Linked DNA regions of Solanum lycopersicum. The protein of the gene in region 1 binds, or shares a complex with, the protein of each later gene. Links are inferred from orthologs where the notes say so. Each region holds a gene or a part of one and is shown in the gene's direction. Other genes may lie near its edges.

Region 1 (4,505 bases):
CCCACCCTCCAAAATAAAACTTAAACCCTATCAAGTAGAAAATACACAGATTGAATCTCACACAAAAAAGGTGTCAACTTTACTGCAAAACCTTAAAACACGAGAAATCTTAGTAGCTCAGTTAGTTGTATACATGAACATTCATCATATCGATAAGAATTCGATTCTCCATCCTGTAATTATTTCCCCTCCTCCTAATCCCAAACCAAAAAAAGAAAACTCAAACCCCATCAAGTAAAAACCACATAAATACACAAATTCGAATCTCACACGAAAAAAGATGTCATCTTTACTGAAAAACCATAAACCCCATCAAGAATATAAGTTCTGAGAGTAGATTAAAAGATCATACCAGGGGTAAGGGCAATGACATGAGCTCCACCACAAGAGATATGAGAAATAGGACCAAAAGAAGAAAGAGAATGAATGAGTTGAGGTTTGTGTTCATCTTGGAGTTCTCCTGTTCCTAATTGTCCCTCTGTTCCTGCTCCCCAGCTCCATATTTCTTCTTCTTCTTCTTCTCTGCTTTTAATTCTTTCGGTTTCTTCCATCAATCATGTACTTTTATCAACTTTGATTTTGCAGTAAATGAGATGATTTATGATAATCTTAAAAAGAGAGAGAATTATTTGTAAATCTATATTTAATTTTAAATTTTATCAAATAGAAGTTTCTTTCTACCTAAAAACTAATTATTAATTTTATTTTTAAATTATCGATATCCTTAAAAATATCTCAATATTTAAATAACTAAACTTAATTTATCTGCAATCGAATTCTTATAGAAACATAAAATAAAGCGAAAAGTGTTGAAACTCTCTAAATTTGAATAGGATTTAGAGATAATATATCACTTATATTATTAAATCCGAATATATTTCAATTTAATTAGTTAATCAAAATAAAAAATATTTTTTAGAATTTTCAATAATTATATACTATTTAATTGCACTATAGAATCACAAGATAATATTAAATTAAAAAAAATTAATTGTTTAAATTAAAAATAATTAATCTTATAATATTTTTTAAAATAGTATATTTTAATTAAAATAATCATAAAATCTAAAGTGCATAATTTATATGAACATGAAATATACGTTTAACAAAATATTAATATCATCGAATTATAAAAGTATTTGATAAGAAAATAATTTATTAAATTTTAATAAAAATTTATGAACATGAAGTATATGTTTAATAAAAATATTGATGTCATCAAATTATAAGAATATTTGTTAAAAAAATAATTTATTAAAAGTTAAATAAAAATAAATAACTCGCAAGGTAAAATATTAGTGAAACAAATATAACAGAAATTCAAAGCAAAAAAATTCACTTTCCAAACAGGTCCTAAATGTGGTGGTTTGAGACGTTGTCTAAGCAAAGCAAAGGCGATTACCAGTGATCGGCGGCAACGATGATGGTGGATCTGAGTTCCTTCTCCGACGAGAAATTTGATCCGAAAAAATGGATAAACTCAGCGTGCCAGTCACGGCATCCACAGGATCCACTGGACAAACACTTGATAGATCTGGAAATGAAGCTTCAGATGGTGTCTGAAGAGATCGCCGCTTCCCTGGAGGAGCAAAGCTCCGCCGCACTCCTCCGTGTCCCCCGCGCTAATCGAGATGTCATCCGCCTTCGTGACGATGCTCTCTCCCTTCGCTCCTCTCTCTCTGCCATCCTCCAAAAACTTAAAAAAGTTCTCTCTCTTTCCCCTACATTTTTACATTTTCTGTTATTGCATCATTTGCTTCACTGAAATTAAAGCAATGACACATTTCCTATCTCATAACTTTGATTCCTTTGCACAGGCTGAGGGATCATCTGCTGAATCTGTAGCTACATTAGCAAAAGTTGATACGGTCAAGCGGAGAATGGAAGCTGCATATGAGACATTGCAGGTAATATTTTCATAACTCTAGATGAAATCATTCACTGTATTTAACACTAGCAATTATTCCAGTTTCATGCTAATTTTCTGATTTTATGACTTCGAAATACTTGAATTTTCTGGTTTGAAGGATGCTGCTGGTTTAACTCAATTAAGCTCAACAGTGGAGGAGGTATTTGCTAGTGGTGACCTTCCACGAGCTGCAGAAACTCTGGCTAATATGAGGCACTGTTTGTCTGCCGTTGGAGAGGTGAGTTTCGACTTGCTTGTTTTTACATAGCATGCCAATGTGTGTGGTATGTGCAGTGAAATAGTTCTTGCTTTATTAAGTCTTTTGCAATTTCAGGTTGCTGAATTTGCCAATATTAGGAGGCAACTAGAAGTTTTAGAAGACAGACTAGACTCAGTTGTCCAACCTCGACTGACAGATGCTCTAAGCAATCGAAAGGTTACTTTAGCTCTCTTTCTCCTTTGTAATCCTTTTCTAAAGGTTATATTGTATGTTTTTAAATGAATGCATTCTTGCATCATAAATCTTTAAGAGAACTGTAATAAACGCTTGTTGCTATTTTGTAGGTTGATGTTGCCCAAGAAATGCGTGCGATTCTTCTGAGAATTGGGAGATTCAAGTCGTTAGAGATGCACTACACCATGGTCCACCTTAAGCCAATAAAGCGGCTTTGGGAAGATTTTGACTTGAGGCAGCAGGCCAATAAAGTTGCCAATGAAAAAAGTGAAATGGATAGACTATCAAATTCTCAGGATTTTCAACCGTCCATGATATCATTCTCAAGTTGGCTGACTAGTTTCTACGATGAATTGTTGCTTTATCTTGAACAGGAGTGGAAGTGGTACGAATAGCTTTTCTGCAACTTTTTCTTAGATAATTCTACTTAGTTTTGCGCCTAGGACTTTGGTTCAGTGGAAGGACACAATGTGAGACGTGTGAATGGGGCGCATGTCACGGGTTAGAACCCTGCCACTGACTAGTTGCCTGGAATTTATGTAAAAGCAGGGTAGAGGGAAAGCTATATTCTCCAGAGTTTTGAACTGTGGACCAACTTATGTCGGGCCAGCTAACTCACTTGGTACTTTTTCATGAAAAAAGAAAGAAAAATCTACTTTGTTTTCCTCCTAGAGATTGGAAGTCATATGCTCTCTTGCTTTCAGATTTTTTAATTTTGTCTTAATTGAGGTTACTGATTAAGCATTCTTATATTCTAGACTGACATCTCGATATTGGTTCTTATTCGAGTACAACTTAGGAAATAAAAAGATTACTATAATGAAATGGATAAACGTCCCAAAACGAGTTGTTGGCTGGGTTTAGGCGTTAGAGTAAGAACCTGGAGGTCCAGGGTTTAAACAATGTCTTTAAAGGCTTCCTTGAGGCACCAGGCGCACCTAAGTACTGAAACTTAGGTGCATTGCAGGTTGGGAGTTTCATTTCAGTTAAGTGGTACTTCATTGCAGTCATGAAAGTGCTTAGGTGTGCTTCTCATTGCTCACGGTATCTTGAAGTGGCAGGAACTAGAGTAAATACACGTGGAAAATTGATATCTGAAATCGTAATAAAAATGAGGAGACAACCTGATATCTCCATTTAATGATCCTCTAGTGAACAATAGATATTTTTGTTGCAGGTGTATGTTTGCCTTTCCAGAAGAATACAGAACTCTTGTACCAAGCCTACTAAATGAAGCAATGTCAACTATTGGTGTGAGTTTTGCATCACAGATCAATCTTGCCATTGGGGATGCCGTGACTGAGACAAAAACCTTGGCGAAAGGTGAGGTTTTATTATTCTTTAGGAGTTTTTGAGAACCATGATCTGAATAACTTCTTGTTCTCTTTCACAGTTGCATGTAGTTTCATCTAAGCATAAGTTTATCGTGTTTTCTGATCTTTCTGTTATGATGTTGCCTTCTCTGTTTCATCAAACATTCTGAAGAATTGGTGTCCAACTAGTTCACAAGCATATAAATGGCTTAAACTAGTCATATACATGGATTGTTGAAATTGAAGTTTTGAGCGTGCAAATCAACCATGGATGTCACTATCACCAATTTATGCATGCAAGATTCAGCTCTAATTTCCCTATTTTGTTGTTTTTGGATGTCACTATCGCTATACCTGGATAACAAAGTTCTTGGATGTTTTCCATCCATTCTGCCTCAGATTTTGCATTGACTTTCAGGTATAATTGACATTTCAAATGGAGATTTGCCAAAAGGTGCCAAGATTCAGACTAAACATTTGGAAGCCCTTATTGAACTTCATAATACAACAGGGAGCTTTGCTAGGAACATTCAACACCTGTTTTCAGATGCCGATCCTCAAGTTTTTCTGGATGCTCTGAAGGCAGTGTACCTTCCTTATGAATTTTTCAAAAGGCGGTAAGCATACAAAAAGCAAATATTCTTGTTTATCCCTTTTGACTTCTCAAATTCACATTTTTTTCCTGCTGCATATGGCATCCCCTTGTCCAGATACCAATTTTTTTCTTTTCATTTTTCTTGGTGCTTTCTCTTGAGGAGCAGTACACTGGCTCTCATGCGAAGGTCTTTTATTTGATTGAAACGCATTTTTGTGGTGTGATTGAGTTGAG
Region 2 (4,720 bases), on another chromosome or scaffold:
TATTTTTTGACTTCTTTTATTATAATTATTTGAGTTTCTTATTCTTATTTTGTTTTTTCTTTCATTCCTTAGTTTAAAGGGAAAAAAAAATTTAAACTATTTTTTTTGTGTGTATTGTAATTTAATTTACGTTGGGCATGTAAGCTGATTTAAAAAAGCTCAAAAAATCGAATTGATCAAATTTATTATCAAGATAAATTAAATTTTTATTTACTATGATTTTTGATCGATAAATTAAGCATATATCGAAAATCGTTTTTATGCTATAAACATAATAGATGATTATGTTAGTTTTGTTGCAACGAGTAATGATAATATGACCTTTTATTTGCCATTAAACTTGCAATCTATTTATGTTAATGAGTTTAGTGTTTCTTTTATATATAATATGATAATATGTATTTGGTGAGTTTCATTGTAATTGTAATAAGTTTAAACAATATTTTTTTTTTGAATAAATAACATAAGTTAGATTGTCCAACGATAAATTTATTATAAATTACTAAATCTATATTGTTTTATTTAACCTGACGAATAATGACAATTATGCATTTTTTAGGCATTACTAAAATGACTTCATTCCTTTTTCTCGAATTCTTATTCTACTAAAAATGATAAAATTGTTAACTATTTGAGCAAATTTTACTTATTAATAATTTTATTTATTCTTATTTCACAAAATATCCTTCTACAATAGTTTCTTTGTAACTTTTTTTTTTTAAAAAAGTTTCTTTTTAACTTAATTGATAATTCATTATAAAACAACAAATGTTATTAATAGATTACATAACAAAATATGTTGACTTAAATAGAAAATCTCTCAAAAATTATTTAAACAAATTTTTTGTGTGTGAAACCGTTATTATCTCCCACTTTTTTCTTATTTTGTTCCTGGGCTTCAAATTCTATAATCCGTTATGGGAAAAGGATAAATATATCCTTTATATATCATAAATGATATGTAAATATTATCCGTTATACTTTTGAGATATTAGTGTCCATATCGTTAAAAAATTAGAGCATATATGTCCTTCATTTTAACGGAATACTACGTAGGAACATGTGGCACAATTTTATTCGTCGATAAATGTCGGATCGACAAATAAGATTATGGCACGTGTATGTCCGTTAGTGTAAAGTGTATATATATATTCTAGTTTTTGGACGGCAAGAGCATCAATGTCCCGAAATTATGACGGAGGGTATTTATTATTTGCGATAGTTTCGGGTATATTTATCTTTTTTTTTCCTTTAAAAGTAGATGACTAAAGAACAAATTTCGAAATTAACTAAAAAGACGATTGATTAACTTGAAAAGGAAAGAAATCTAGTTAACAAATACACCCTCTGTCCCTATTTACTTGTCCATATTTTCTTTTATATCTGTTTCTATTTACTTGTCCATATTTTCTTTTATATCTGATTTATTCGTCTTTTTTAACAAATCAAGAAAAGACAATAATATTTTTCCTTATATGCCCTTATTTAATTCTAGTAAATTTCAAATGTTACTAAGTTGTAATGCATGCTTTTTGAAACCAAAAAAAAAATATTTTTTATACTTAGATAGTTGCATAATCTTTTTAAGTTAAAGATAAAATTGTAATTAACCTATGATAATAATTGGTGTCTTAATATGTGTGTCACTTCTAAAATAAATTACTAAATAAAAACAGAGGGAATATAATAATATCCACGATTATGATTAATAATATGTTTCTAAAATGAACAACTAAATAGGAACAGAGGAAATATAATGATATCCACGATTATGATTAATAATATGTCATTACTTATTTTTCTAAATTACAATAACTATAATATATTCCGTATAATTTTATAAATAAAATTTCAAAAAGATAAAATATAGGGGAATTTTATCACTACATTTGCAATGAATAAACTAACTCCTCTTTTAGAACTTGTTTAAGAAAATGTGAAAAACAGACCCAAATTCTCACTCAGTTCAAAACGATCAGAAAAAGCCAGCATTTTGTTACATCGCCGGTGGCCGGAATCAATGGCGTCTCCGGCGATTCAGAGATCAACGCATTTATCATCTACACCCGTATCTTCTTCATCTCCCCTTCAACGTCTCTCAACTTTCAAAGACAGATCCATCAACCCCACCCCTACTGCTACCGTTACTCCTACTCCAACCTCCGGCCTTACCCCATTCACACCTGCCTCTTCCCCTCTCGATTCCTTCACTTCCGATCCCATTTTCTCATCCTTCCTATCCTCCGACTTTGATTCCACACGTTTCTCCTCCGCCGCACTTTCCTCCGGTTCTACCGCTTCACGTATCGAGAAGCTTCAAGAAGGTCTCCGTCTCCTTGACCATCAGCTTCGTCATGAAGTTCTTACACGTCATCATGATTTGCTCAATCAGCTTACTTCATTACGTGCTGCTGAATCTGCACTTTCGACTCTTCGTTCATCGGTTACGTCTCTTCAGTCGTCGCTACGTCGGGTCCGTTCTGAACTCTCTGATCCTCATCAAGTAATTGAAGTGAAGACCCTTCAGCTTTCGAATCTTCATTCAGCTACTGAGCTGCTTCAATCGACAATTAGGACTATTCGGTTGTCTAAAAAGCTTAGGGATCTCATGGATTCGACCCCAGACCCGGAAAAATTGGATCTTTCGAAAGCTGCTCAGCTACATTTTGAGATACTATCGCTTTATAATGAGTACCATTTAGCTGGGATTGATGTGGTTGATTTGGAACTCAAATGGGTTCTTGAAATTGGGCAGAAATTACGGGCTGAAGGGATGAAAGTTTTGGAAAAAGGACTTGAAGGCTTGAATCAAGCTGAAGTTGGGGCTGGGCTTCAGGTGTTTTATAATATGGGGGAGTTGAGGGGAACTGTGGATGGGTTAGTGAGCAAGTATAAGGCAATGGGAGTGAAGAGTATAACGACTGCTTTGGATATGAAAGCTATATCTGCTGGTGGCGGATTTGGTCCGGGAGGGGTGCAGAGAAGTGGGACACCACAGTTTGGGGGAAGTGCAAAGGCGAAGGATGCATTATGGCAAAGGATGAGTGGTTGTATGGACCAATTGCATTCCATTGTGGTTGCTGTTTGGCATTTGCAGAGGGTTTTATCGAAGAAAAGAGACCCCTTTACGCATGTCTTGCTGCTTGATGAGGTCATGCAGGTGTGTGAATGCATCTTTAGTTGATATGAATTGTTTCTAAGAAGTTATATATGATGCTTTTCTTATATTGAGTTATTTGTAGTCTAAAATGGCATGATCACATTAAGCCTGAATATGTTGCCTTGTGTTGGAAATATGGAATTGGTTAAGCTGCAAAATAACTTTATAGCTAGATAGAAACCGAAGACCTGGTTTGAGCCAGCTTAAGCGTGTTATCAGGATCTTTGCTAGAAAGGTTGGTTCCAAATGAAATATATATAATCCTAGGTAGTTACATTCAGGATATCTAAAAGAATACTCTATGGAAAACAATGAAATCATGGGAAGTACCGATAGACTGTCTTCACTACTCACCATTATGTAGTTGTGTTATTGATAATGCGGATATCCTTTTTCAGGGTCCTGATCCTGTGTTTGAGGGTGATTAGTGAGGCAATTAATAGGGAAAAAGTGGTCAGTATAAGTTTCGCAGAAAAAAGTACAGTATGGTGAGTACTGCTTGAGGAATAGTGAATTCTGATAGCAAGCAGTTTCTTCTTTTGGCTACTCCCAGGGAGCCCCCAAGTTTCATGACTTGTGGTAGCATTGAGCTTGAATCTGTTGCTCCGATTTGGTAACTTAGGTTTAGTTAACCTTGTTATGACTTTAACCTTGGTATGACCCAAGCGGACCAACTATGAACAATCATTTTTGGGATTGCATCAACTCTCTACTTAGAGCTTCGATTTTTGTATACGAGCTGACTCAATCTGTCTTTTGTAATTTTTGCTTTTGTTTCTGTTTGCTGCTATTAATGAAATCTACTTCAACACGAAAAAGACCAACTTTGAGCAATTTTTAAGGGAGATTAGCTGATTGTGTCCATAGGGTAAAAGAATTTTCATTCCAAAAGAAATGTATATAACCTTATGCAGTTACATTTAGGTATCCGAAAGCAATATTCTGTGGAAAATGATGAAATTAGCTGTAATCATGCGAGGTAGTGAGACACTGTCAACTCCTCATTATGTTGTTCTGTTCTCATAATGTGGGTCACAACAAGTCCTTTTGTCCCCAATTATAGCCCTGTGTTTGAGGGTGACTTATTTGACAATGAAAAGGAAACCATCGGTAATATTAAGTTAATCAGTCCATGAAATGGTTTCTGCTACCAAGGGTACAGTATGGTAAGTTCTTTTAAAGGAACGGTGAATCTGATAGAAAGTAAGGCTAACAAATCTGTAATGAAATGAGAAGTGTATTTGAGCTGATTCTATGATCCTAATTCCTAAAGATTTAAATCTTAGAAGAATAAAATTTTGAAATGAATTTTTGCTTGTCCCCCAAAAATCTTTCCTGCCATATAATCCCTGTGTAATATAACTCATGCATTGAGAGTGGGGCTGTCTTACTCCAACAATTGCTGCCTTCTCCTTTCACTGTGCAAAGGTCCACTGATCTATTAGAACAAATAATGCCCTCTTCCTACTAATTTACTTAATAATAGACTAAGAAACACAGTGAACTCTTATGTCTGGCTGTGTGACAATTTTCCGTATTTCTTAAATATCTACTCTGTTT

Evidence for each region. The genes of interacting proteins can lie anywhere in the genome.
Region 2: conserved oligomeric Golgi complex subunit 7 (region 1) and conserved oligomeric Golgi complex subunit 5 share a complex: the UniProt entries of both Arabidopsis thaliana proteins name them as parts of the conserved oligomeric Golgi complex. The link is inferred for Solanum lycopersicum from reciprocal best matches to the Arabidopsis thaliana genes EYE and AT1G67930.

What each region holds. Positions count from the first base shown.
Region 1 is NC_090804.1:1,814,055-1,818,559, forward strand, and holds the start of conserved oligomeric Golgi complex subunit 7, read left to right. Parts: upstream 1-1,292; 5' UTR 1,293-1,420; coding exon 1,421-1,705; intron 1,706-1,817; coding exon 1,818-1,907; intron 1,908-2,027; coding exon 2,028-2,147; intron 2,148-2,243; coding exon 2,244-2,345; intron 2,346-2,473; coding exon 2,474-2,748; intron 2,749-3,540; coding exon 3,541-3,686; intron 3,687-4,094; coding exon 4,095-4,293; intron 4,294-4,505. Other genes in the region: ultraviolet-B receptor UVR8, read right to left, coding at 353-551. UniProt on the Arabidopsis thaliana protein: Required for normal Golgi function. Necessary for embryo development and pigmentation, especially for the expansion of cells and organs, and for the formation of the organized shoot apical meristem (SAM).
Region 2 is NC_090809.1:2,247,754-2,252,473, reverse strand, and holds the start of conserved oligomeric Golgi complex subunit 5, read left to right. Parts: upstream 1-1,783; 5' UTR 1,784-2,020; coding exon 2,021-3,160; intron 3,161-4,720. UniProt on the Arabidopsis thaliana protein: Required for normal Golgi function.